4 linked regions of the Diceros bicornis minor genome follow. The protein of the gene in region 3 interacts with the protein of the main gene of each other region in a biochemical or structural test. Links are inferred from orthologs where the notes say so. Each region holds a gene or a part of one and is shown on either strand. Other genes may lie near its edges.

What was found.
Region 1: the proteins of PDZK1 (region 3) and CYSLTR2 interact in a test that uses a peptide from one of them, tested with the Homo sapiens proteins (2 studies listed by IntAct, with this or other methods). The link is inferred for Diceros bicornis minor from reciprocal best matches to the Homo sapiens genes PDZK1 and CYSLTR2.
Region 2: the proteins of PDZK1 (region 3) and ABCC4 form a complex in vitro, tested with the Homo sapiens proteins (2 studies listed by BioGRID and IntAct, with this or other methods). The link is inferred for Diceros bicornis minor from reciprocal best matches to the Homo sapiens genes PDZK1 and ABCC4.
Region 4: the proteins of PDZK1 (region 3) and CRHR1 form a complex in vitro, tested with the Homo sapiens proteins (2 studies listed by BioGRID and IntAct, with this or other methods). The link is inferred for Diceros bicornis minor from reciprocal best matches to the Homo sapiens genes PDZK1 and CRHR1.

The regions. Positions count from the first base shown.
Region 1 is NC_080748.1:28,486,078-28,493,372, reverse strand, and holds the start of CYSLTR2 (cysteinyl leukotriene receptor 2), read left to right. Parts: upstream 1-4,288; 5' UTR 4,289-4,365; intron 4,366-7,295. UniProt on the Homo sapiens protein: Receptor for cysteinyl leukotrienes. The response is mediated via a G-protein that activates a phosphatidylinositol-calcium second messenger system.
Region 2 is NC_080748.1:72,019,263-72,026,437, reverse strand, and holds the start of ABCC4 (ATP-binding cassette sub-family C member 4), read left to right. Parts: upstream 1-4,154; 5' UTR 4,155-4,513; coding exon 4,514-4,587; intron 4,588-7,175. UniProt on the Homo sapiens protein: ATP-dependent transporter of the ATP-binding cassette (ABC) family that actively extrudes physiological compounds and xenobiotics from cells.
Region 3 is NC_080743.1:53,251,901-53,259,211, forward strand, and holds the start of PDZK1 (Na(+)/H(+) exchange regulatory cofactor NHE-RF3), read right to left. Parts: upstream 3,024-7,311; 5' UTR 2,475-3,023; intron 1-2,474. UniProt on the Homo sapiens protein: A scaffold protein that connects plasma membrane proteins and regulatory components, regulating their surface expression in epithelial cells apical domains.
Region 4 is NC_080757.1:44,377,333-44,384,576, forward strand, and holds the start of CRHR1 (corticotropin-releasing factor receptor 1), read left to right. Parts: upstream 1-4,224; 5' UTR 4,225-4,409; coding exon 4,410-4,442; intron 4,443-7,244.

The sequences.
Region 1 (7,295 bases), on a different chromosome or scaffold from region 3:
TTGGAACATATGATTTGTGTAGCTCTATGTCCTAGCGGTGGCCAAAGGTGGCAATTTGCAGGGTGAGGAAATGGACATGAAGGCTGGAGTGTCCACAGGCCTAAGCGTGGGAAGAGAACAAGGGCAGCTGCAGCATTAACAGCTCTTCTGAGGTGGCCATGTTCCAGCTAGAACCCCAGGGAGTCTGAGAAGTCTGCACAGATAGCATAGGAATCCAATAATTTACAAACAAATATACAATATTAGAAGAAGGAGTGATGGTGATGAGCACTATAAAGCAAAATAAAGCAGGGTAAGGGGATAGAGTGTGTGTGGGGGAGCTCTTCTTGAAAGGGAGGCTGGGGAAGTCATCTCTGAGGTGGCGGCATTTAAGCAGAGGCCCCAGTGAAGTGAGGGAGTGAGGGTTCAGGGCCATTCCAGCACATGTGCCTGGAGGAGCAGCAGGGAAGTCCTCACGGCTAGTGATGAAGTTGTAGAGATGCGTAGCAGGGGCTGAGCAGGTCTGGCCTTTGTAGACCGTGATAAGGATTTTTCTTTTGAGAAAGTTGGGAAGTCATTGCAGAGTTGCGAGCAGGGGACAGACATGATATGATTTACTCCTTAAAAACTTGATTGTAGGGGCTGGCCCGGGGCATGGTGGTTAAGTTTGCACGCTCCACTTTGGTGGCCCGGGGCTCGTAGGTTTGGATCCCGGGGGCAGACCCACGCATGGCTCATCAAGCCATGCTGTGGTGGCAACCCACATACAAAATAGAGGAAGATGGGCACAGAGGTTAGCTCAGAGCTAGTCTCCCTCAGCAAAAAGAGGAGGATTGGCAACAGATGTTAGCTCAGGGTTGATCTTCCTCACAAAAAACAAACTTGACCGTAGAACAGCAAGAGTGGAGACAGGAAGACGATTAGGTAGGATGTTCCTACAGCATTCTTTTTTTTTTTTTTAGACTTCTTCCAATTTATTTTTTTAATTATTTGTTTTTTAAAACTGTGGTAAAATATACATAAGACAAACTACAATTTTAATGGTTTTTAAGGGCACTGTTCAGTGGCGTTAAGTACCTTCACATTGTAGTGCAGCCATCACCACTATCCATTTTCAGAACTTTTTTCATCTTCCCAGACTGAACCTCTGCACCTATTAAACAATAACTCCTCATTTACCTCTCCTTTCTGCCCCGGCAACCACCCTTCTACTTTCTGTCTCTATGAATTTGACTACTTTAGATATCTCGTATAAGTGGAATCATACAGTATTTGTCTTTTTATGACCAGTTTATTTCACTTAGCATAATGTCCTCAAGATTCAGCCATGTTGTAGCATATGTCAGAGTTTCCTTCCTTTTAAAGGATGAATAATATTATATTGTATGTTTATATCACATTTTGCTTATCCATTCATCCATCAATGAACACTTGAGTTGCTTCCACATTTTGGCTATTGTGAATAATACTACTATGAACATGGGTATAAAAATATCTCTTCAAGACCCTGCTTTCAGTTCTCTGGGATATATACTCAGAAGTGGAATTGCTGGATCATATGACAACTCTATTTTTTTAAATTTTTTTTATTTATTTATTTTTTGTGTGAGGAAGACTGGCTCTGAGCCAACATCCATTGCCAATAGTCCTCTTTTTGCTGAGGAAGATTAGCTCTGAGCTAATATCTGTGCCCATCTCCCTCCGTTTTTGTATATGGGATGCTGCCACAGCATTGCTTGATGAGTGATGCATAGGTCCACACCTGGGATCCCAACCTGCAAGCCCTGGGCCACTGAAGCAGAGCACGCAAACTTAACCACCACGCCACCAGGCCAGCCCCAGGACAACTCTGTTATTAATTTTCGAAAAACCACCATACTATTTTCCATAATGGCTGCACCATTTTACATTCTGATCAGCTGTACACAAAGGTCCAATTTCTCCACATCTTTGCCAACTCTTGTTTTTTGTTTTTGTTTTTGTAATAGCCATTTTAATGGGTATGAAGTGATATCTCACTGTGGTTTTGATTTGTATTTCTCTAATAATTTTTGATGTTGAGCATCTTTTCATGTGCTTATTAGCCATTTGTGTATCTTTTTTGGAGAAAAATCTGTTCAAATCCTATGCCCATTTTTTAATTGGGTTGTTTGTTTTTGTCGTTGTTGAGTTGTAGGAGTTCTATATATATTCTGGATGTTAATCCCTTATCAGCTATGTGATTTGCAAATATTTTCTTCCATTCTGTGGATTGCCCTTTTCCTCTGTTGATAGTGTCCTTGAATACACAAAAGTTTTTAATTTTGATGAAGTCCAGTTTGTCTATTTTTGTTTTAAAGCCTGTGCCTTTGGTGTCATATTTAAGAAATCATTGACAAATCCATGAAGCCTTTCCTCTGTTTTCTTCTAAAAGTTTTATAGTTTTAGCTCTTATATTTAGGTCTTTGATCTATTTTGAGATAATTTTTGTATATGATGTTAGGTAAGGGTCCAACTTTATTCCTTTGCATGTGGATATCCAGTTTTCCCAGCACCATTTGTTGAAAAGACTGTCCTCTCTCATAAATGACCTTGGCACCCTTGTCAAAAATCATTTGGCCATATATGTGAGGGCTTATTTCTGGACTTTCTATTCTATACCATTAGGCTATCTATCTGTCTTTATGCCAAGACTACACTTTTTTGATTACTGTAGTTTTGTAGTAATTTTTGAAATCAGGAAGTCTCAGTCCTCCAACTTTGTTCTTCTTTTTCAAGATTGATTTGGCTATTTGGGGGTCTCTTTACATCCCACATGAATTTTAGGATAGATTTTTCTAGTCCTGAAGAAAACATCATTGGGATTTTGAGAAGAATTGTGTTGAATCTATAGATCCATTTGGGTAGTTTCGACATCTTAACAATATTAAGTCTTCCAATTCATGAACATGGGCTATCTTTCCATTTTTTTACGTCTTTTTAAATTTCTTTCAGCCATGTTTTATTCTCAGTGTACAAGTCTTTCAATTCCTTAGTTAATTAATTCCTAAGTATTTTATTCTTTTTGATGCTATTGTAAATGGAATTGTTTTCTTAATTTCCTTTTTTGATTGATCATTCTTAGTGTATAGAAATACAACCGATTTTTGTGTGTTGATTTTGTATCTTGTCACTTTGCCAAATTTGTTTATTAGTTCTAACAGGTTTTTTTTTGTGTGTGTAATCTTTAGAATTTTCTACATAAAAGATTATATCATCTGTGAACAGACATAATTTTACTTCTTTCTTTCCAATTTGGATGACTTTTATTTCTTGCCTGATGTTACTACATCATTCTATCTAAGAAATGATGGGGATTTTAATGGGGATAAGGAAGGTGAGAAATGATTGGATTTTGGACATATTTTGTAGGTAGAACAAATGGAATTGTTGGCTTGGATGTTGGTTGTGGGAGAAATAGAGAAGTTAAAGATGACTTCTAGGTTTATGGACAGATTAACTGGTTGAATCATTGTGGTGCCATTTGATGAGATGGAATAAATGGGGGAGTGTATGCTTGGGAGAGGAAGAGAAAAGCTCTGTTTTGGCTATATTAAATATGGTCGTGGATGTGGATAATGTAGATAAAAGCAAGAGAATACGGTGGGAACTGCTCAAAAAACAAACTTTTGGGGCAAGCTCACATGTAGAAAAGGGGTGGAAGAAGAGGTATCAGAAAGGGAGGTAGAAAAAGAACCAGGAGACTCAGAGAAACAGGGAGAAAGTTTCAAGAAAGTGGCATTGGTTAACCGTGCAACAAGTTGAGGAAAGAAGATGAGGACTGAGAAAGGACCTTTTACTTGAGCAATGAGGAGGTTGTTGGGAATCTTCGACAGAGCATTTTCACTAGATTGGGTAAGGGTCCCCCTGAGTACCAAGTCCCTGGAAAAGGCTAGTGGGTAACGGGAAGTGCTCTAAACAGCTCTAAAGTGTTGTCCGTGTAAAGCGGTGTTGATGTGACTGTTGTCATGGAAACAGAAACCATTTAGGAGAACTAAAAGCCGCTTAAAACCCCTGACTCTAGCTCATCACAGCCCCTTGATCTGTTGTGAAAGACGGTAATAAAAACAGTCATTAGAGCGGCAGGGCTAATGCAGGTTTCTTCCTCTCAGATGTAGCCCCTAACTGGAAATCTTCCCCCCTTCTTGAGAAGGAAGCCAGCACCAACACCCACACCAAGTTCTATAAAGCACAGCTGACCTGCTGACCAAAGTTCCTTACTCTCTTGCTATTGGCTGACGCTGTTCATAATATATAATTTGCTGTTTCACTTTTCTTTTAAAGAAACAAGCTGAATTACTTGCAGGAGGAGGACAGGAGAGGGAGAGGAGACAGAAGCCAAGGCAGCTGAAAGAAAGAAAACTTCAGGTGAGCATTTTTATCTTTGCTTTGTGAATTCATTGATGAATAAGCCTTTGCTTATTCCTTCATAGTCAGAAGAACAGTTTTTGAAAAGCAGATTTATTTTGTTCTACTATAAATTTTTTTCTACTAAATACACAATAGCTTAAAAAATCTTGGGAAAATACAAAAAAGTAGAAGGAAGCAAAAACCTTCACTGAGCTAGCCTCTATTGATATTTTAGGGGTATTTCTTTCCATTCTTTTTTGTGTGTCTGCATACGATTTTAGTTTGATTTTCATAGTTGTCTTCATACTGTATGGATAATTTATTTTTTCCGTTAAAGCATAAATTTTTTCCACGTTGCTGTAAATTCTTTATAATCATAACTTAAAATTGCTGCATGATATTGCATTGAGGAGATTTACTATCCTTTAGCCAAGCATTCTCCAATTTTGGGCCATATAGCATCTTTCCTATTTTTCATAGACTGGGTCATTTGATTGTGTAACTTATATTTTTTCCATTCAGGGTCTTGTTCTTTGGGGAGAGGAGGTTGAATTTGAGAATGCAGATTTCAGTGGTTTTACTCAGAGGCACAATGAGAGGGAAAGAGTGTGTGCTTGTAATCTGCTTATTACCCCTTTGGGACCTCAATTGGCGGTACTCAACTCTGGCTATAGATTCACTTAGAATCAACTGATTCTGAGGAGATTAGAAAATTACCCCTAGAATAATTGAAACTTAACTTTTGGTGATGAGTCAGTCATCTGTAGTTTTTTTTTTTTTTTTAATTTCAAAAATCTACCAGGTGGTTCAAATGGGTGGCCAGTATAATAACGTCTAATCTAGGTTATTTGAAATATTTTCTGTCTCTGACACATACCTGAGAGTAATACATCTTAAGGGAAGGGAGGTACACTTTCAGGCAAGCCACTCAAGTCTACCTTTCAATGCTATATAAATAATGCAAGAGTAATTTGTGGGAAATGTAAGACTTCTAGAAATTTCTATCATTCATCTCAACCACATAAACTCTTGAGATGAGAATCTACTTGAGAGTTTCAATTTACTAATATTTTAAAGAGATGGATTCATTTTCTGGTGGTTAGAAGTTAGAGAGGTTGAGGGTCCAGAATGTTCTAAATGTATCAAAATTAAGCCTAGCATCTGTTAGTAGCCTGCCAAGGTAGCCAGACTTCCTTTCATTTGCAAACTCTTCAAGGATCAAACACAAGGTGAGCATTTAATAGCTGCTATTAAATGTTATTAATAGGTATGAATTTTAATAATATTAAAAGGCAGAGCAAAGACTGATGGGATTGGATTTGGAGGCAGCAAGTGGATTATCCTGGCTATCCAGGAGCGTAGACATGGCACTTACTTTTCTGGACCCCATGTCCCGAGAAGGAGAGTGGACAGAGTTTATACCAGAGCTATGCTCTGGTTTTTCCAATTAGGAATTGAGAATAGACCAAAGGCAGCTAAACCAAGTCAAAGCCTCTGCTGCTGCATAGCCTACAGCAGGGATGTACTTCTTTTAAATCAACCTAACTTGATCAAGAGGATGTTAACGAAATTTCTCCTTATTTTGACTCAGTGGTGGAGAATATCTGTTTAGCACCTTCCTTGATGAACCTAACTGTTCACATAGTACTTCACTATTTACAAAACTCGTTTACATACAGTAGTTCATTTGACCCACATAATGGCCCTGCATGCTGGAGGGTGTAATTCTTATTTTACAGCTGGCAAAGGTGAGGCCCAGGGAACATAGGATCTTTCCTAAAGTGGAACCAGAATTGGCCCTGGTTGAGCCCAGGGCACATGTCCCCTTCCTTACAACTTGGATGATAATTATTGTAAAAAATTTATTGAAACAAATTTTGTTATGTCTATGTAACTGAATACTCTTTTAGCCATTTAAATGACGTTGATGTTGGGGCCCGCCTGGTGGCACAGCGGTTAAGTGCACACACGCTCCGCTTCGGTGGCCTGAGGGTTCGTAGGTCTGGATCCCCGGGCTGCACCAACGCACCGCTTGTCAAGCCATGCTGTGGCAGTGTCCCATATAAAGTAGAGGAAGATGGGCACGAATGTTAGCCCAGGGTCGATGTTCCTTAGCAAAAAAGAGAGGGATTGGCATCGGATGTTAGCACAGGGCTGATCTTCCTCACAAAAATAAATAAATAAATAAATGACAATGATGTTTATTAATTGGCACAGAAAGGTGATCATGATACAGTGATAAGAAAAAAGCAAGGTACAAAACAGCATTATTATAGACACTCATTTTTGTTTAAAAATATTTGAAGAAACATGAAAGGAAGCAAATGCACAAAAATTCAGATATGTCTGGTTGGTGGTAAATCTTGTAATTTAAGTTTATTTCAGCTTATATTACCTTGTTATTTTTTACCATAAACATTCACTACTGGTGTAGTAAAAATGTAAAGTAAATTAAATAGAATTGTTCTTGTCTTTCTGGTTGGCTCTTTTCAGATGAAATTGTCCCAACTCCTTTTACTTGGCCACACAGAATCCTCCCATTTAATTCCCCATGAGTTTTGTTCATTGTTGTCTCAAATCTTATTGTTATCGTTAGCTAGCATCAACTGAAAACTTACCAAGTGTCAGGGCACCAAGTTAATCACTTCCCATCCATTTTCTTCATCAATACTCACTCTAGTCCTCCCTATGCAGATAAGTGTTTTGAAGCTCAGAAAGGTGAAGTAATAAGAGTGACCAAGAGGCAGAGCTGAGACTTAAACTTGGGTCTGTTCTAACTCAAAAGCACATGTTCTCATTCATTATACCATCCTGCCTCCCTATCCATCTGGGATCATGCGGCGTACCCTCATCATCTAAGCAACACTCATTTTGGAAGAAAGACGATATATCTTTGCAACATACTCATTGCTATGTGTCAGGATCACCTTGAGTATTTTTAGTATCTC
Region 2 (7,175 bases), on a different chromosome or scaffold from region 3:
TGCATATGGCCTCAAAGTGCTTCCATAGCTAGAAAAAGACCCTTAAGTAGAGTTGCAGATAAACAGTAAGCTGCCTTAGTTCTGGAGAGGTGCCCAGGGGGTATGAGCTGAAAAGTAATAGCTTCTGCCACAGCAGGTCACACAATTTAAGCTTTAGCTTCTAATCCTTTAGCTTCAGGAACCCCAGAGACTCGATGCCACCAAGACTCTCCTTTACTCTCATTGTGTTCACTTACATATCCCTAGCTCCTGGAACAGTTCTTGGCACACAGTCTGTGTTTAGAAAATAGTTGTTGACTGTAAGTTAATCGACTGTATGACTTTCCTTTGGGTACCTGCTTTACTATTTCAGGCCTTTCCATCACAATGGGAGACATGGCTACCACCAGTTATGGGTCATATCTTTAGAACTCCCTGATCAGAAAGGAAAATGAGGCTTTCTCTTTCTAGCTCCAGCCAAAAAATTCTCAAAAAAAGAAAGCCAGGGCCGGCCCAGTGGCGCAGTGGTTAAGTTCACGCATTGTGCTTCGGAGGCCTGGGGTTCGCTGGTTCAGACCTGCTCACTGCTCATTAAGCCATGCTGAGGTGGTGTCCCATATAGAAGGGCTACAACTCTACAACTATGATACACAACTATGTACTGGGGCTTTGGGGAGAAAAAGGAAAAAAGAGGAAGATTGGCAACAGATGTGAGTGCAGGGCCAATTTTCCTCAAAAAAACAAAAAGAAAGAAAGCCAGTTGGCTTGGCTTGGGCCATGAGCTTATCTCTGGGCCAGTCCCTTTGGAGACGGCCATGGTATCTTACGATTGGCTAGATTTGTGTCATGTGCCCACCCCTGAGATTATGGCGGTGGAGACTATTACTAGAAGGTGGAGTGACAGAACAGTTGTCACCATATTTGGAGCTACGGATACCCAATGGAGTATGTTTAAATTGTGAATGCCATTTGTCCCATATGTCTTGGTAGAAAAATGCTTGAGGACCAGCATTGTCTTAGCTGGACCATTTTAGTACTGCATTAGCTCTTATACCTACTGCAGATTTAACACTTAACGCTTTGACTATTTGAGAGGGATCCTGTAGATCATTTAGTAATTTATACTTTGCAAGGCACAATTTTTTTTCTTGTGCCCCGAGGTTTGTTTGGGAATGAATCATGAAGTACAACAAGATTGAATCTCTCCCTAGGTATTCTCTGCTTATCCCTACTAGAGTCAATGACTGGCTTCATGCACTCAGCATAATATTTTCAGTGTTCATCCATGTTGTAGCATGCATCAGTATTTTATTCCTTCTTATAAAATGCCAAATAATATTCCATCGTATGTAATGCCCCATTTTATTTATCTATTCATCAGCTGATGGACACTTGGTCCCCCCATCCCCCAACTTGGGCTTTTATGAATAGTGCTGCGATGACATCTGTATGTAAATTTTCACGTGGACCTATGTTTCCATTTATCTTGGGTAAACAGCTAGGAGTGGAATTGCTGAGTCAGATGGTAACTTGATGTTTAACATTTCTAGGAACTGCCACACTATTTTCCATAGCCGCTGTATCATTTTCCATTCCCTCCAGCAATGTATGAGGGTTCCAATTTCTCCACATCCTCTCTAATACTTATTACTGTCTTTTTAGTTATAGTATTGAACCACTTAAGATCAGTAAACAAGTGCAGATAGAGGTCTTATGACATCTTTCCCATTTTTGCCAGCTCCATGCCTGGCCTAGCGATCAAGTACCTAGACAGCATTCGCTAAACATTTGTTGAATGAATGAAAAAAACCACCCTTTTATTTGTACATTGCCTTAGGTTTTACAAAGTGCTTTCCCAAGTTGTGAGGCTCACACTAACCCTGTAGGAAGTAGGAAGAGTGGGAATTCTGATTCCCATTTTAGACCTGAGGACAATAAAGGTCAGACAGATTTGGTAATAAGTGAAAAGTCTAGATCACTGGTCCCCTGGTTCCAAATCCAGTCTTTTCTCTACAATTCAACACTGGTTCTCAATATCTCTTCTAAATATCCTATTAGTTAATGTCAGAAAAAAATGTTAAGAAGTTTCAAAAGATCGTAGTTAAAAAAAACCCAGCAGAAGCTGAAGGAACTAGTGTTTCTGGCAGTTCGGAGACTGCTAATTATGGTTCTGAGAACTGTGGGGATTAGAGAGAGTGGTCTGGGGCAGTCTGACAAGAGAAGGCACTAGACTTCTAACTTGAGCGAGCAAATTCTTCATCTTTGAAGCAGAACTGATAGCTGAGCATTTACAGGGCTGGAAAATTTAAGGAGTTTCAAAGAGAACTGTAAATAAGGTGAGGGCTGACTATTTAGGTTGTAGATTACAATATCTGAGAAAGAGCTAGTACAGAAAAGTAAGTAATTGAACAATCAGTTTTCTTAGAATGTTCAGCTCTAATTGTCTTTCCTTTTTGTAACAAATTCTCAAACATCATGAAATAGCAAGAAAATAGTATAGTAAACCCCCATCACCCATCAGTTGAAAATTATTATCAATATTTTGCCATTATTATATGCTTGACTTTTAAAAAGTGTTTGAATACAGGAAGGCTTTCTTTAAAAGCCACTTCCTGGGGCCGGCCTGGTGGCACAAGCGGTTAAGTGCTTGTGCTCCGCTGGGGGGGCCCGGGGTTCGCCAGTTTGGATCCCGGGCACGCACCGACGCACTGCTTGGCAAGCCATGCTGTGGCGGCGTCCCATATAAAGTGGAGGAAGATGGGCACGGATGTTAGCCCAGAGCCAGTCTTCCTCAGCAAAAAAAATAAAAAATAAAAAATAAAAGAGGATTGGCGGATGTTAGCACAGGGCTGATCTCCTCACACACATACACAAAAATGCCATTTCCCCCCAGCTTTACTGAGGTATAATTAACAATCAAAAATTGTATATATTTAAGGCATACAACCTGATGACTCGACATACATGTACATCGTGAAATATTCACCACAACCAAGACAATCAACATAACCACCACTTCACACCTTAACCATTTTCCTTTTCCTTTTTTGTGTGAACACCTAAAATCTACTCTCTTAGCAAATTTCAAGAACACATACAATATTGTCAACTACAGTCACATTACTGTACACCAGTTCTCCAGAACTTATTCATCTTGCATAACTGAAACTAAAAGCCATTATTAATAACATCATTTCAGCCAAGATACATGGGAAATTATCAGAGAATAGTAAAGTGATCTTGTAATAAGCCCCACGAACTTGTAACCTTTGATCTTTCTTCATTTAGGGTTGAAGAGAAGAGAACCTCCTGAGCTGGTAAGATGGCCTCACAACTAACTGAAGACTTAGTGGGAGTCCAAGATTTTGTTCATTCAGTCCTACAATCATGCGTTCGTTCATTCAACCAGCGTATTCTAGACACTTTTTAGGCTCACTGACCACCCCCCAGTGAGACAGACCACGCTGGATTCCGACTTGAGTCCAAATCGGGTTTCATCATTTACTGACTCTTAAGACCTTGGACAAGTTCTGTCCTTGAGCCTCATCTTTCTAATCTGTAAAATAGGGATAAGGATACCTTCTTGACTCGGGCATTGTTAGAGTTCAAAGTGAGGTAAGGTCCCCAGGAATGTGCATAACGGGTGTTCTGTAATGTACGTTCCGTGTGCCACTGTTATTCTGCTAGGCTCTGAGGGCAGGATGAAGGAAGTAATAAGGCAGTCTCTTTCTCCCTATATCCCCTTTTCCCAGTCTAAGAGGGCAGCAAAAAGCTCGCAGAGGTCCCCCGTATAACGCAACATGTGAGACGCCAAAAGCCTGCCCCTAATGACGTGCATTCATCTTCCAAAATCATTGAGTTCTTCTAATCTTCTGTTACCTTTCTTTAGGTCTTGCAGCTCTACAAAGATAATCTGTGCTAAATCCTGCTGTTGTCTTAGGTCAAATGTTTGGCCCGCAGGTTGGAGAGCCTTCCACAGCTCTCTTTTTGGTCCTGATGAGGGCAGCGAGCCTAGAAGGCGGGCTGCTAAATCCCGGTCTTCTGAAAGCCGCAGCCAAAGGGGCGTTTCTGAGCAGCAGGGCGGGCAGAGCCGGCGCCTCCCCTCTCCACCTTCTGGGTGGGTGCCTTGGCTCTGAGTACGAACTTGGGCAAGTCTGCAGCCAGGTGCGAGCACGTGGGCGCCTCCGCGCCGGGCCCAGCGTGCCGCGTGGTCAGTCTACCCACCTCCATCCAACCTCGCCCGTCCCCTCGCCTCGCACGCGCGCGGCTCCCGGCAGCGCCGCCCCCGCCGCCCCGCACGCGGCGCGCAGCTCCCGCTCCCGCTCCCGGTCCCGGCTGCCGGCTCCCCGCGGCGCGGCCCAGGAGGCGGGGACGGGGCGGGCCGCGGGCTCTTTGCTCCCGGAAGCGGGTGGTTCTCAGGCTCCCGCCGAGCGGATCGAGCTCCAGCATCGTCGCCCGCACCTCCAGGAGCAGCGAGAGCGGCGCGGCCGCCCGCACAGCGCCACCCCGGCCCGCGCCCGCCTCTGCCGGCAAGATGCTGTCTGTGTACCCGGAGGCGAAGCCCAACCCGCTGAGGGACGCGAACATCTGCTCGCGCGTGTTCTTCTGGTGAGCACCCCGGCTCGGGCTGCGACACCCCGCCGCCGCCGGCCCGTGCCTGTGCCTGGCGTTGCTGGCGCCTTTTGGCGGTGGAGGGCCGAGGGTCTGGGCCAGGGAGGGCTTTTCGCCGCCGCCCGCACCGCCGGGGCTTCCTGCCGCCGGTGGGGCCACCCCACGCCGGCCGCGTGGTCCCCGCCTGCGCCCCGGCGCGCGGGGTGGGCGGGAGTAGGGCCAGGGAGGGGGACCCGGGAACCTGGTGGCGTGGGCTCAGGGTCTCCCTTCCTTGCCACTCGCTCCGCCAGCCTCCAGTGCCCGGGAGGTGGGGAGCCAGAAAACCTAGGCTGCCTGGGGGAAATCACTGCCCAGCGGGAGGACCGACTGGCCCTCCCACACCCCGCCCTTGGCCGGCTGCCCCTGCACCGCGCAGGGATTCGCAGTTCTCCTGAACTAAAGCTGCACCCTTTTTTTTTCTTAACCAAGCAGCTTATGAACAGCTTGCTTTATCTAATGTCAACCAAAGGCTACTTACTGCACTGCCCTGGACTATTGCCATCTCCCAAAAGTGTCCCCACCTCTTCCGAAATTCCTTACGTGACAGCTGCGTTTCAACTCCACCGGCCTTTCTCTGTGTTCTATGACCGTGTCTGCCTGCATCTGTCTTTCTCTGTCTCCCTCCTGTGTATGCCTCTCACTGTGTGTCCTGGTACCTAGTTGTGGCAAATTTCATGTGGGTAAAAAAACACTTTATTTTCTAGTTAGTGAATGGGGACACTGTTCTTGAATAAGTTTTGCTTTTGCCTGGGACACACACAGCCACGACTGCGGTATGTCTTCGACCAGCCCCTTTCCCTGTTGATAAATAATATTTGCACTTCCACCTTTGAGGATCACTCTGGGGATGGTGTCCCTGAAGCCTGTGGGGTCTTATCGGGATCTCTAGCCTTTGGAGAAGCGATCCATGGTCTTGATGCAGGTGCTCCTGCCCGGGAGTCCTATGGTCCTAAAACCACTGAAGGGTCCCTGAGCTGGGAAGAAGGACAGAGGTGAAAATCCGCTCAGAGAGATGAGGCTCTTAATTAAAAGTTTTCCATCTAGTATCTGAGACTACTAACTAGGTGGGCGTGAACCTTTGGGCTTTAATCACACTCGGTTGGTTATTAGGTTGGTTATTAGGTCTTTCGTTTCTCGACCCTAACCGTTTCATCTTTCCCACGTATTCTGATCATTCCCCCCCCCCCTTTTTTTTTTAACTTGAGGTCATATTGGCTTATAACACTGTGTAAATTTCGGGTGATCATTCCTTTGTTTTATGGGAGAGCCTAGGGGATCCCAAGGGGAAGAGTGCTCCCATGCTTGATTGTGGTGTATTCAGTAGGTGTAGGGACATCTCTTGGCTGTATGGTGGCCCTTCTCTTAAGGAAAGAGGGCGCAGAAGAAGGAATATGGATGTGTCTACTGTACATAATAACGAAGTAGGCAAATGTCTCCTTTGTTGGAGGCAGGGCTTGGAACTCTGGAAGCACTTTCTGTTTGTGGATTTTCAAAATGTCTGTGCGTGGAAATGGGGAGGTGAGGACTTCCCATTGCTCATTTTGGTAGGCACTTATTTCCGGTTTCCCTGCTGGAGGGAAAGGAGCGCTTAGCTCGGTTTCCCACGTGAAGGCACTTAAGGGAAGAGAGGTTAAGTTGCCTGGGATCACACAGCTAGTAGGTAGTAGAGCGGATCCCAAACAAGGCAGTCTGGCTCTGGAGCCTGAGTTCCTGTGTTCGCATCCCCTCTGCTGAGCTGCTCCTGTAGGGGTACTTGTTCTTAAATGCGTGGAGAAGGCTATTCCACACACACCTTTGTTCTTGTAGGTGGGAGTTTCTTCAAGTTCCTGCCATTGGAGACAGTGCACGTGAAACATTTATTACCATGCTTTAGGGCAGCTGTTCTCAAAGTGTGGTGCTCACACCTGCAGCATCCGCATCACCTGGGAGCCTGTTAGAAATGCAAAGTCTCGGCCACCCTTTCCAGCCCAATTCTGTAAAACTAGAAACTGGGCGGTGGGGGGCGGTGGTTCAACAAGAGCTTCAGGTGATTCTGACAGAAGGTTGAGGCTCACTCAATGCTTTGTCACCCCTCCCATTGGCATTGTTATTCCAGTATTATACTTTTAAGTAAGGGGCAAGACTTTGCGAAGTCAGTTGTTGACCAGAATGACCATCCTGTAGTTAGTTACCTTCTGCAGTCCGACGAATTTTAAAGTCTGAGGCACCTTAGTGATTTCCTTGTGTACCCTTCTGGCTGTAGGCTGGCAAGCTGAAAAGAGCCCAGTCAGGGAGTGCCACCGGGAGACAAGGCCCATCTTGTAGAGAAAAACCGTTTTCATCTTCTCATTGGGTATTTGCTTTTCTTCTCAAATTTCATGTGCTTTCCAAACTTGTGACCTGGTAGCTCCCTACCCAAATGATGCTGATAGCTAGCTTACTGACCTTATACAAATACTTTACTGAGGATTTGGTGTTTTCTTTTTTTTTAAAGATTTTATTTATTTATTTTTCCCCCAAAGCCCCAGTAGATAGTTGTATGTCATAGCTGCACATCCTTCTAGTTG
Region 3 (7,311 bases):
ATGTTCAAGGAAGAAGGTCAGGTTAGACTGTGAAGCACCTTAAGCTCAATCCTTTGGATTGCAGAAGAGCTTCATGTCATGTGAGGCTTGCAGCCTCAGAAGCTGGAGGCTGTCTCAGACCAAGAGCAAAGCCTCGGTAGCTGCCATTGAGTAGGCTAGGGGCTATCTTTCCTACTTATCAAAACTCCTTGTCACTGCCTGGGTTCTTTCCTTCCCTGGGGCTATGCCCCTCACAAAGCTGTCTGATGATCACCAGAACAGTAATATTTAAGGTGTGCTAGGCACTATGTGCAGTCTCGCATCTAATCCTCATAACATTAGGAACGAGGTTCTATTATGCTCATTTGACCAATGAGGAAATAGAGACTTAGAGATTAAGAATATGCCTGCTCTAGAAGGCAGGTTTCCAATTTCAATACCCATGCCCTCAATCACTTCGCCATGATACACACCAGGCAAAGAGATTAAGGAAATCTGGGCAGTCCCTCATGAAGAGCCAAGGAAAGGAGTTACTGAGATCTGGAAGAAAACATGTCTAGCTCTAACTTGCTACTCTCATCAAATTCCTTTGCAACAGATATGAAAATCATTTAACCAAGACATGACCAGAGATGCCCATTCCCACATGATCAGACCCAGACCTCAGATGACCTGAGAGAGTATCAGAGTTCTGCAGCCTCTTCTCCCTAAAAGCAGCTTCTCAAAACCTCCCGATTCTATTCTTGCAGCTCCTGCCCTGCCACACTAACTTCCATTTATCCAAATATCTAAGCACCTACTCTATGTCAGGTGTTGTCCTCAGAGCTGGGATTATAGCAGGTACCACAAAGGACAATAACCCTGCTCTCTTAAAGCTAAACATCTGGCAAAGGGGGCAAATAAAAAGCAAACAAGATGATTTCTGATGATAAAGGCTATGAATGATGAAATATAGTGGTGGAGTTGGGGGAGGCTGATTTAGGAAGCCCTTCTTGGGGAGGTAACATCTGAATTCATACCCAAATGACAAGGAGGAGGCAGCCTTGAAAACTCCAGGATCCACCTTATACTTGGTGGGCTGAAAAGGACATTAGTGATCAGCTAGTCTCAACTCTTTATTTACCAGTGAATAAAGAAAAGCTTGATGAGGTGAAAAGACTGGGACAAGGTCTCCCCACTGACTGCAAGGCTGTTTCTTCCCACTTTTCCATGAAGCCTTTGGATATACACATTTGAGTGTAAGCACCTTATGTTTGTGCTTTTAATCCCCTCAAACACACCATATTTGTAATTTTATTTTCAGTACAGCCTTGGGGAAAAGACGAGAGGCCTTCATTTGATAGATGATGAAATTGAGGCTCCAGTTGGCTAAGTGACTTGTCTAATGGTCTGTCACTAACAACTAAAGCAAAATGCAGGTTCTTTGTACTCTAGTCCTGTGTCCTCTCCCCTGGATGGGAAGGAGCTGTCTAGCCAGTGGTCCATGAACATAAGACATCATTACTAGCAACTTCATGGGTAATGGTTCAAATAACATACAAAAGAGTCAAAGATAAGAAAAATTTACTTAGTCATAACACACAAACTCAAAGTCCCTGAGTTATTTGCTGTAGAAAAGAACATGTGACCAGGGAACTAGACAGCCATGTCCTGAGACAATCAGCCCCCATGACGTCTGAATACAGACTGCAAGCTCATCGGTGCAACACTGCAGGGACAGCTAAAGAGGACTGTTCTTGAGGAGCCAGCCCAGCCCTGAGCTGGTGTCTCCTGAGCTGAGCATGAAAGTCACATTTAAGTCCCTGGACTCTTCTGTATAGGAAGTAAGCTACTAGTGCTTCCCAAACCTGCCTGCCAGAATCATCTGGGGGAATGTTAAAAAAACAAAGATTTTCAGAACAACACAAGACCCAAAGAATTAGAAACTCCAAAGTGTAGAGCCTGGAGATCTATGTTTTAAAATTCAGCCAGCCTAGAAATCCACTGGTTTTTCCTCACTTCTTAGTGCTATAACATGATGAAAAGAGGAGAGATGCCTGCTTTTATTATCCAGTGGGAAAGTTAAATTAGATTTTATCCCTTAAGGGCTGCTTCCAAAAGAAAATCTCTAATACCCAGACCCCTGACCTAGTGGGAAGTTCCTGTGAGTATCTTCCTGGTGACCTGTGAAGTCTGTTATCTCACTCTCCTTGGCTACACATCAAGCCCCCATGCAACCCTGGGAAAGCTTTTTCCGAGGCTCAGTTTACCATTGCCTTTGTAAAGCAGACCCTAACCTGTAGGGGTCGGGGCATCACAAGCAGAAAGGATCTCAGAGTACAGACAATCCCTCACCCCACCACCACCACCAATAGGCCCGGCTCCTTCCCCATGTGCCTCTCTTTGGCCCTGGACAGCCAGCTACTGCTTGGAAAAGGAAAAAGGAAAAGAAAGAAGGTGGTTCAGGCCCAGGTGGCCAGCACCCTCAGTCAGGGGGATGCAGAGACTCTCCTTACCTGGATCTAGGGGGAAGAGGAGCTGCTCCGGTCACTCGGGAATTTTCTCTCTGCTGGTGAGCTCTAGTCTTGGAACTCCGTGGACTTTGAACAAAGATTGATTTAAAAGCTGATGTATTTAACAGGGACTTGTGGTCTGAGTTCAAGTGACCTCTGTCCTGCTTTCTGCCAGCTGGGTGGGCCCTGAGCTGGGCAAACCTGAAAAACGCTCAGCAAACCCAATGCTCTGACCCACCTGCTTAACTGTGTGGGATGTCGCTGCTTGCCTGCTCCTCCCAGAGAAGAGGAGGGGAGAGAAGAGGGAAGGACAGCCAGGGAGGAGATGTCTTTGCCTTCCTCAGTTCTTTCACTTTGGCTAATACCTTGGTCACACCCAACCAACACCCAATGCGTTAAGAGCCTCCACTGTCCCCATCCCAAGGTCAGGGCTGAGGGTCATCACCCAAGTATCTTCATGTACTGAGGCCATCCTGGGGAGCAGTAACCTGTGCAACCCCCACCCTGTAGAAGGTCAGCAGGCCAATAAGCCCCAGTAAATGAAGCAAAGCTCCTCGTGTGCCCATCCTTCCTTTCCTCCACCGGGGAATTCTTCCTCGCATGCTTCCTAGGAGTTCAGCATAAAGCCCCTGCTATGATTTCCCAGGCTCCCTTCCTCTTCTTACACACTCTCTCTTCTCTGTCTCTCTCTTTTTTCCTCTCTATCTCACTGAGGGTGCTCTGTTTCTATTCTCCAACCTACTGACAATTGTCTTCCCCTTCCACACACTCAGAGCCTCTCAGGCAAGCCCAGCGGGGAAGGTGGAATGCATTTCCACAAGCTCCTCGGCTGGCTGCCTCAGCAGTGCCCTGCTCCACCCCTCATCCCAGACAGGAGCAGCAGCTGATCCCTATCAGCAGCACCCACACAGGCAGACCTAGCCTTGGGCTTTTCACTGACCTGGATCCTCAGCCCACACTGGAAATCAGGGCAAGAGATTGCTCCAGGCAGTGAGGCAAAGAGACCACAGGCTGAGGACAGGGTGGCCTCACCTTCCTCCACCCACGCTGGAAGGGCCACTCGTCTTCGCTGGGCCTTGGCTCTCCCCAGCAAAGGCATGGCCCGAGCCAGAGGGTAAATTGTCAAAAGGGACCAACATCTGAGCCGCTAACCCAGATCAGGTCATCTCCACCTTAACACTATGTCCCTTGGGCCTCCTGTATGTCTTCTGAAGCAGAAGTGTAGAATGGGAAAACCTGGATTCAAGATCAGAATGCCTGACTCTGCCACTTCCAGGTGTTGCATCTAGAGTAATTTATTTTTAACTCTGAGTCTCACTTGCCTTCATCACCTATAAATAGTTGTTTTTTAGAAATTTTTTTATATTGAGTCAAAATATCTCTCACCTCTGCCTGTAAGTCCTAATGGTTCCCTCTGGAGCTGTTCTACAGAGCAGCCCTTCAAATATTTGAAGGCTGTTATATCCCCCATAAGTCTTCTTTTCTCTGGGATTCCATGAATGCCCCTCATTCCTTAACATGGTCTGCCTATGCCATGACTTCAAAACTTCTCACCCTGGACGCCAGCCAATTGGTCAATGTCCGTCTTCAAATCAGGGGTCTAAAGGGGAAACTTTAAGGTGATGGAATTGTTCTATATCTTAAGTGTGGGAATGGCTATGCAATTGACTACAATTACCAAATTTCATCAAGCTATCACCTAAAATATGTGGATTATATTCCATGTAAATAATACCTTAATTTTTAAATTAAGGAGCCTGTCAGTAAATTTATTCTTGAAACTTCTAAAATAAAAAAATTTGGATGACAACAAAGTCAATCTTCATTCAAGAAGCTTCTCAGACTCACCCTTTATCCCAGCACAGATGGAACAAACAGCCACAAGCCTTCAGACTGGAAATAGAAGAGGCCCTAACATGCAGAGACAGTGTTCATTCAAAATTAAATAGAAATGAGCAATTGTTTTTTTTAAAAAATGACAAAACCCTTTCCCAGTGAAATTGATACCAAACCTCTTAATCTCAAATCCATGTGCCTGATATATAGTAAGCCAATCACGGAGACACCTGGTGCTTGGAGATAGAGAAAGGTTTATTCGAATTGGCCAAAATGAGAAGGCGAGAGGATAGGTTCTCTCAAATTCACCTTCACAAGACAAGAAAGCAGGGGGTTTTATAGAGCTAAGGGGCTTGGCAGGAGGAGTTTTGGAGAAACAAAGGGGTAACCCCAGGTTTCTTTCACTCCAGATAAGCCATTGGGCAATCTGACTTCTGGGCATCAGTGGCAGCTGGGGGCTGTTTTTCTGGTGACTGTAACTTCCTTGAAGGCATTCTATTTCTTCTGTAAAACAAGCTCATAAATCCTTGTGACCCTTGAGTCACCCCTCAGGTTGAGCAAGAAAACAGCAACTTGACAAGACTAACTTCTTTTCATCTATGTCTGTGCTGGGAACTAGGTCGAAAGGTAATCCTGCCCTTATTGAATATTGATAGTAACCCTCAGGTACCACGCTTCAGAATGTTGAACTGAATGAGATGAGCCCTCACTAAAATTTGGATTTAAAAAAATCTCATGGCTATAAGTAGATCTGCTCAGATTAATGCTAAGCAGAGTAACTCTTTTTGTTGATTACTTAGATCTAGACACTAGTGAGAAGGTAAAATGACATTATTTATTGTGTGCCTGGTAAGCCTTTATATCTATTATTCTATTTAACCCTCAGCATGACCCGATGAGATGATATTCCCATTTTACAGATAAGAAAGCTTAATTCATGGGGGTAATTATCCTGCCCAAGATCACCTGGCTCAGAAGGATTAAGGACCCTGTCTGTCTCCTTAGGTAGTGTTGTTTTGCCTCTAGGATAGGCTTCCCACCAGCCAGGGAAAAAATGTGCTCTCCTTCCCTAGAGGTATTCAAGCAGAGGCTGGTGGTGTTCTGTGTCATGTTACAGAAAGATGTCCTGCTTTGTGAGGGAGATTGGAGTAGGCAATTTCTTGGATCCCTTCCAATTCTAAGATTCTGTGATCCTAAATACCATGGGTCCTAAGACAACCTTCCCCATGAGAGTGTGTAGTATAAGTCCTGGGTGCATGTAGGTAAGAGTTATGAGCATGGGCTTTGGTATCAAACAGCTACTGAATCCTAAATCTGCCATCAATAAGTTTTGTATTTTTTTATTGTGAGCTCAAGTTTGTCTGGGCTTTGTCTATGGGAACCCTTGGCAGCCTGGGTGGAGGATTTTCTCTTGTTTTTGTCCAACAGCCCTTCTCCATATCCCTAGAATGACAAGGAGAGGCACTAAAAACTTGGAGCCAATTTGTGTTAGTTGCTTGCCTTGGTGTTTCCAGATCTTGCAAACAATTAATGTCAGTTACAACCTCAGCCCCCCTCCCCCTAAAAGCAGAGCTATGGTTGGGAATTTCCAGGAGAGATCTGTTTTTTTCTTCCCAGAGTCCAGGCCAAGATAGATAGTTTCCCTGTTACCCATGATCAGTTTTTCCCTGTTCTGTTTTTTCATAAATATATCCCCCTTCATCTTACTTATATATTACGTTTATGGATTATGTTATGTCTCTCTATTATCTCTGTCTCTCAGAATATAATTTCCCCAGGAACAGGCATGCCTATTTATTTTCTTGCTGTGTCCCAAGTGCCTGGAATATAAGCCTAGCTTATAGCAAGCTTTCAAAAAATGTTACTGAATGGATGAGTGAATAAATGAATCTCCTTTTGCCAGCAGGACTGGTTTTTAGCCCACCTTTCACTAAGAATGTAGCCTTCAGAGAGTCTCAGCTCTATGCAGGGTATCAGTTCCTGGGTCTTACCTCCTGTGCCAAAGTGACCCTGCTTGGTTACCGGTTTTCAGCTTTCTCTTCACTTCTGGACCTGAGAGATTTCTTTCCTTTCTTTCAAGTTCAACTATCTATTTGAAAAAAATGTTTGATATATTTTACCTAGTATTTCTATGAACTATGTAGAGGGAGGGTTTTCAGATTATCTAGTCTGCCGTGTTTCCAGAAATAGTTCTGTCACTTAGCAGCTACTTTGCCTTTCAAAGCTCCAGTTTTTTCATCTGTAAAACACAGGTAATATAACAAGCTCATAGGATTTCTTGGAGACTTAAGTAAGAAAACATTTGTAAATCACCCAGAACCTGGTAAATGCTCAGTATATAACATTGTTATTATTGTTTTTGCAAGTTATGCCCTCATAATTCATGGGCACACATTGTACAACAGAGTCATGGAAATAAACGGGCTAGAAGTATACAGTGGGCGACTCAGGAGTTCAGGATGTTTGGGGCATTGTGGATGGCATGCTTGCCCACTCACAACTCAGCGCTTTGTAAAACTGGTCAGAAACAGAAAACTAGAAAGACTTCCCAGTGCTTCCCAATACTTTCCCCTCCACGTCACAAAACAAATTGATAAGAGTTGTATAGTTCACCGGGGTAAATAGATGAGGCATTACAAGGCTAGGGTGACCTGCCTAGGGCCAGCTGCCCCAAGCTCTGCCCAGACTCCCTAAAGATCGAGGGCATCAATATTTTGGCATATTCTTAGAAAACTATAAAACATCACTGAGAGCAACTAAAGAAAACTTAAGTAAATGAAGATTATACCATATTCATGGGTTGAATCTTCAACACTGTAAAGATGTTAATTCTCTCTAAACTGATCTACAGATTAATGCATTTCCAATCAAACTTCCCACAGGGTTTGTTTGTTTATTTGCTTGTTTGTTTGGTGGAACTTGACAAGCTAGTTCTGAAAAATTGGAATAAGGAAGCTGTAGTGGGTAATAAGACAGTAGAGTGATAGTAATTACTACAACATGG
Region 4 (7,244 bases), on a different chromosome or scaffold from region 3:
TTTCCTTCAATACACAATTCCCAACCCACCTTTTCCAGAAGATCTTTCCTCTGACAAAGTGGGTGTGTCAAGGCCAGTTTGCTCTCTTCCCCCAGCTGAGCTACCTACAACCCCACAACCCCCAGCCAAAGTTACGCACACTGCTGGGTAGATCTGGGTGGATGATGATGATGATAATTTACAAAATTTAATAATCAAAACAACTAACACTTTTGAAGCACTTACTATGTGCTAGGCACTGCGGTAAACACTTTACACATATTAACTCGTTTATTGAGTGCCAGCTGGCCATATGCGAGCAAACATCTGCCTCTCTGCCTCCAGACTCCAGCACAATATCACCTCCTTGGGAGAACCTTCCCTGTTGGCCCTGGGCAGAATTGATATTCCTGCTTCCATGCATGGTGCCTGGTCTATTATTGACCTGATTTCACTAGCTTTTAATTATTTATCAAAGTGGCTTGCCCTTCCAGTCTGTGAACATCTTGAGGGCTAGGGCCCTGTTGTAGTAATCTTTATTAGCCATGGCGTCCAAGTGACTGGCACATAATTGCTGCTCATTAAATGTTTGTTGAATGAATGCACAGATGAATGGAGTAATTAACACCATCTCCCCCAATGTTCATGCGATTTTGTAAGCTGCTCCCTCCATGAGGCCATTTTCCTGACCTCATACTTCAGAAGCATTCCAGACCAGTGCTATTCCAAGCTTGATCTGTCTGCAGATTATTTGTTGCCAGTCCATGACAAGGTTAAGTGCAGAAATTGAGGGAAGCATTTAAAAAATTTTAAGCAATTTCACAGAGTAGTTTTATGTCCATTGGATATGATAGTTTTAAAAATTGGGCTTTTATTTTGTATGTCTTTATTTTTTATTTCATTTTTTAATAATTCATTCCCATTTTATTTTGCAATCGTATCAGTCTGCAACAGATAGAAGTTTAAAAATCAAGAACTGGTTCTTCGGCACAAGTAGTCTGAGAAGTATGGTTCCAGACCATCGACTTCACTGGGATGACCAGAGTTAAGCCAATGGCACCCCACAGCCCCACAGGCAGAAGGGCCTTCTCAGCCCTCCCTCCCTGGGTCCCACCATCACTACTTGTTCTCACATCTGTCTTTCCTACTGTTTGGAAGGACCTGGAATTGTCTTTTATTCCTGTTTAGATTCCTCATATTTCTCCTTTCCTCCAAATTTGGTTCCACAAATGACAGCTGACTCTGGTCTAGGCCTGGACAGGAAGAGGAGAGATTTGGGGAAGGTCAGGCTGTGAAGAGAATGCTGGAATGGAGCAGGAGGCTGTCCTGAGGAGGGTGGAGAGGCTGCCTAAAGAGACCACCCTGAGCCTTGGGCTGGTTGGCTGGAGAGCTGGGGCTGAGGGGGAAAGGGCGTGGAAGACCTGGGCACTGGCATCCTCACCAAGCAGAGCAGACGAGAGCCGGGCTTTTGAAGGTGGAAGGGAGCAGTTTCAGGACAAATGAAAGGGGATATGGAATCTTTTTACAAAGAGGGTGTTAAACTTGAGACTCTCATAACCCTCACAAAGCGGTCAAGGCCAAAACTATGAATAAGTATCCCGGAGTGGTACAGAAGCCCCCTCCTGCCAACTCCAGGGGGGGGCGGGTGGAGTGGGGGAGTGCCAGTTAAGTCAGCAAAATCAACACAGACCATCAACACCAGCGGGATGAAATGTGCCGTCTGTAGGTGCCCCTTTAGAAAGAGAAGGTCTGAATCCCAGGCCAAAAAGGCAAGAAGAGCAAGACTTGATTACAGCCTAACCCATGGCATTAGCATATTTCAAGATCATGTCAAGGGGAGGAAGACAGGGCTCAGAAAGGCAAAATATTAAGCAGAGAGAAACACAGAATCTGGAAATCTGGAGCTGTCTGGTCCCTGGAGAGTCAGCTCCAAGGTGGGGCAGGTCTGGGGAGTGAAGTCTCTGCAGGGCCTAGGCAAACCTCCCTGAGGACCCACCAGCTTCCTCTCCTCTGATTCCACAATCCACTGCTGCTGTGGCCTTCTAATCAAGAATTCTGCTTCCCACAGAGAATTGCTTAGAGGAGGGATCACCCTGCCCATACATTTGAGGATCTGGTCCACTTGATGATGATGATGATGATGATGATGATGATGATAGTGATGGTGACTATAGCTAACCTTCATTAAGTCCTTGTTATGTGCCAGGCATCTTTCCAAGTCATTTACAAATGTTAGCTCATTTAAACCTCCCAACAACCCTATGAGGTGGGTATTCCCACCCCCATGTTATAGTTGAGAAAATTGAGGCACTGTCAAATAATTTTCCAGGTTTATATAGCTTGTAAGTGGAAGACTCAAGGCTCAAACTCAGGCTAGGCTGCCTAATTCCAGAACCCGCACTACACTAGACCACTCTGCATTTAGTTTTTGTTGAGAGCAATAAATTGTCCATCTGGTTGGTACATCCGTTTCTTCTAGAATTAGTTGGGGTTAGTCCGTGTACGATTCAGCATGACCAGCTCTAATGGGAGTCTTGCCAGACTGGAGACTGTGTGCTTTATTTAGAAAGAGCCTCCCCGTGTGGCTAAGCCAGTGTGACCAGCTGGCTTCCTGGGCAATGCCCCTCCCCACCTCAGAGCCCCAAACCCCATCAGGGCCCAGCCCTCCAGGCACTTTAAGCTGGGAATCAGGAGACTGAGGACTAGGCTTGCCAGCTATGGGACTTTGGACAGGTCACCATCTCTCTGTGTGCCTCAGTTTCCTCACCAGTAAACTGTGCGTGTTGGATCACAGGACCTCTTACAATAACTCCTTTTCTAAATGAAGAACCAGTTGGAATCGTGAGCGTGCTGACTCTTGCCCAGTGTGCTGAGAAGTGGGTGGAAGGCAGGAGGGGCGTGGGCGCGGCAGAACACAGAATCCAGGGCAGTTGGGTTCAGAGTTTGATCTCAGAGCCGGCTGACTACCACTCTGGGACCGCGCTCCGCCCAGAAGCTCTGGCTTCCTCTGGAGGGGCTGCGGTTGGCGCTGCAGGCCGAGGCTCTGTGAGTGGAGTGATTTTCTCTATCTCCCTTCTCAGCGCTGGCGGGAGGAAGGAAGAGATAGAAGGAAGCCAAAAGTTCTGTCCAACTGGAGGGGCTGGAGGGGAAAGTTTAAGGGGCTGGAAGAGGCGGGAGCTGCTTCCCGGAGCTGAAGGTGGGATGGGAAGCTAGAGGGCCAAACTCGATGAAGACCGGGACGCGGGTGCTGATCCCTACCCTGAGGGCTCGGCCGAGAGGGGGCGCTGTGGCCTCCTCTACACTCTGCCCGCTGGATTCCTAGCTGCTTTCCCCCCGCCGCAGCGCAATGCGCTCCGCTTTCCCCGCCGCAGCGTTCAGACGTCCGCTAGTCCTGCAGGGCACCGCCGTCTCCCCTTCATCTTGGGGTTCCCAGGTTCAGCCCCTTGCTGGGACCAAACTGGGCAGGCGCTTAGTTTGTAGAATGAATGAATGGATGAAAGAACGAATGAATGAAATGAATGAATGAATGAGGTTTCTTCCGCAGAGCTTTCGTGTCCCTGCGCGCACCTGGGGTGTCAGCGCCAAAGGCCTCGCTGAGGCGGGGGCAGTGAGGACCTTCTCCCCGCGGGATGCAGGGCGGGAACTGCCCAAACGCAGTCCTCAGCTCCACCTGGTTTCCGCGGAGGCTCCCCTCAGCCGGGGCTGCTCTATTCCCCAGTCTCCAATAGCCTCGCTCCCATAGATTTGCCAGAGGCCCCCAAGTCCCCTCAGACTCCTTGGACTCCCCAGGCCCGGACTTCAAGCCGGCAGGAGCTGAGAGGCTGCCTCCTCTCCCGCGCGTCTCCCCCCACCCCCCAACCCCATCCCCGGTTTCTCCCTGGGCTGCGGCTGCCGCCACTGCCGCCAGTGCGCCCCGCCGACTGCCGCAAACCGGGGCGCAGGGAAAGGGGGTCAGCGCGGCTAGGGCGCGAGGAGCTGGCCCGGGGAAGGGGAGGGGACGGGGAGGCGGGGTGGCGGAGGCAGCAGAGGGGCGAGGCGCGGAGGAGGGACCGAAGGGGAAGGGAGGGGAGAGGGAGAGAGGGGAGGGGACGCCGAGGCGAGGGGGCGGGGAGCCGAGGCGAAGAGCGGCGCGGACCGAGGGGGAGGCGGCGGGGGCGAGGCGGGCTCCCGGCGGGCGAGAGGCGGCTGCGGGCCGGGCTGAGTCAGGAAACGGCGGCCGGACTTCCTCGGGAAGGGGAGAGCGAGAGCCCGCCGGGCCGGGCCGGGCTGCGGGCCGGGGAGCGCGGAGCCGGGCGCCTCGGCGCAGGGCAGCGACAGAGGAGCCAGGCCGCCCCCCATCCCCGCCCCGCCCGAGCCCGCCCCCGCGGCTGGCCCCTCTGGGATGTCCGAGAGACCCAGGCGTCCAGGACGGTGACCGAGCGAGCCCGAGGATGGGACGGCGCCCGCAGCTCCGGCTCGTCAAGGTAAGAGAAGCGCGGGCGCCCCCAGCCCCGGGCCGGCGCGGGACACGGGTGGGCTGTGGCTGTGATGGGGGGTCAGTGGGAAGAGCTGCGCACAGGTCGGGGGCGGCCGGGGTTTGAGGGGCAGCCCAACTCCCTCTCCCTGGACCTTTGGAGCTGGTGCTGGGTGGGTGGGGAGAGAACTCAGGTGAAAAAAGAAATCGTTGTGGCGAAGCGGCCGGGATGTTGGCGGAGGAGGGGGTCCGCCCACCCGGGTAACCAGCTCTGTGCCGAGAATCGCTTTAGGCTTTGGGAGTCGACGCTTGGTTCTCCCTGCCACCCCTCCCATGCAGACCCGGCCAGGAGGCCCTGGAGATGGGTTCCTCACCCGCCCCAGCACCCTCTCATCAGCTCCCCCACTCCACACGCCCCCGCCCTGCTCCTGGGAGCTCCTTCCTATCCCTTCTCCTCCGCTGAAAGCTTCAAATCCGTGGAGATAAATGTCCCCCGCGCCTCGGAACTCTGGATCAATATCGCAGTCTCCGGGGAGGAGAGTGCATCGGCGGCGGTTGCGGTTCCTCCGCCGAGGCCGGCCGGCGGGAGCGCAGCGCTCCCCTCCCAGCCTTTGCACTCGCGGGTCCCCGCGCTGCGCCGGCGGCTCCTGCCCCGGGTCTGGCGACGCGATCCCGGCGCCTGGAGTTTAGGAAAGTCGCCAGACCGCACGTGCAGCGTCTGCGGCTGAAGTTCGGGGGCGTCGGGGGGCTGTCCGCGGGCGGCGTGCGCCAGGGAAGGGCTGGGGATCGACAGCAGGCCCGCCGCTAGTGATAGCCGCCAGCCACTTCCCAGTGCCGAGCGCTTCCCCGGTTGCTGGGTGTAGGCACGTAAGCAGCAGCCGGAGGGAGAGGTGCGGGGGCCTGGGCGCCGCCGCCGGGGAGCCCCGCGCGGCTCACGCCGGAGGATCCGGACTCCGCAGGGTCGGTGTGGACGGCCTGAGTTACAAACACAGACACCAGCTTGACTGGGTTCAGTGCATTTAAAAGCGGTTTCGTCCAAAAGGATTGAATGGATTTGGGGGAGGGGTGCGGATTGACTGAATTTCATTTTTCCATCAGTCATTAAACGTGTACCAGCTCACAAAGTGGTTTGAGTTAAACCATCAAGATTTTAAAATGCAACCGCTGCCAGTTCATCAGTAGAGACGTTCCTAGTTACTGGGTTTTTCTCCATCCTCTCCCTCCCGCTCCCAAATATTTATAAGCTGTTTTTAAAAGTGACTGAGGGCTGGTCTGATTGAACCATACCCCCTCTCCCACCCCTTAACTGAGGCCTGGGGGCGAGCTGGGAGATTATTTTCTGAGTGATCAAGGAGATCCGGGAGGGAGGGAGGAAGAAAAACATCCAGAGAGGTTGAGTAGATGGCATTGAATGGGAATATTTTCCAAAATGCTTGTGTGTACAGAACCTAAATCTAAATACACAAATCAGTTCGACCGAATTCATTCTTTTAAATGGATTCAAAGGATTTAACTGTAGGTTTTTGGTGATTTTTTTGAGTTTACGTGGTAATAGGTAAATGTTCTTTCCCTGGCCTTTCTTAGAATCATGTGCAAATCTCTGCTTAGAATTATCACGTTTTCCTAAAAGAAAAGAAACTGTTTTTACTGTTGTTGTGTGTGTGTTTCCTACTAGATAGTGAGGCGTGTGCCCTTCATGTCTGGCCTAATGAACTCAGTAGGTGTTCAACAAAAACCGAATGAATGAGAGGCAGTGAGTGAATGGGCAGTGAATACTGATTTCAGTTAAATAATTACTTTTTATTTTATTTATGTAGCATGTACAACTTGCTGGGCATTGTTCTACCTTCTTTGCAAATATTAAGTCATTTAGTCCTCATAACAGCCCTGGGAAGTAGGAATTATTACTGAGGCACAGAGAGGCTAAGTAACTTGTTTAAGATCACACAGCCAGTGAGTGGTGGAGCCAGAATTCAAACCCAGGCACTGTGGCTCTAGGGCTTTGTTTTGGTAGCTTTTACCAGAAAATATTCTAAGCCACTTAAATCTCATCCTAGACCTCTGCCAGACAAGAGCTCAGGTAGTTTTTTCAGTATGAAAGTATGAATCTAGGAGAGTTAATCCAAAATCCAGCTCTCTCCCCACCAAGTCAGCCAGGGTTGGGAAAGGGGGCCCTATTGTGGGCCTCGCACTGTGCTGATTATGATCTGGAGGAGAGTGTGTGGGGGAGAGTGTGTGAGTGTGTGTGTGCACGAGTGAGAGAAATGCGTGTGAGTGTGCATGAGAAAGTGGTTGTGTGTGTGAATGAGGGAGAGTTGATGTGTGTGAGTGTGTGAGTGAGAGAAATGTGTATGAGTATGCATGAGAGAGTGGCTGTGTGTGTGAATGAGGGAGAGATGATGTGTGTGAGAGAAATGTGTGTGAGAGAAATGTGTATGAGTGTGCATGACAGTGGTTGTGTGTGTGAATGAGGGAGAGATGATGTGTGTGAGAGAAATGTGTGTGTGTGAGTGAGAGAAATGTGTATGAGTGTGCATGAGAGAGTGGTTGTGTGTGAATGAGGGAGAAATGTGTGTGTGTGAGTGAGAGAAATGTGTATGAGTGTGCATGAGAAGGTGGTTGTGTGCGTGAATGAGGGAGCGAGATGTGTGTGTGAGTGTTGGTGGATGTGAAGGAGGAGACAGGTGGAATACTGTCTCTACCCCCAGGGGAGGAGGGATGGAGTGCCTCTGGGCACCTCCCCACCAATCGCAGCCCCTGGCAGGGAGAGCAGAGTGTAGGCGGGGGGTTCCTGGGAGCGTGAGGGGCGAAG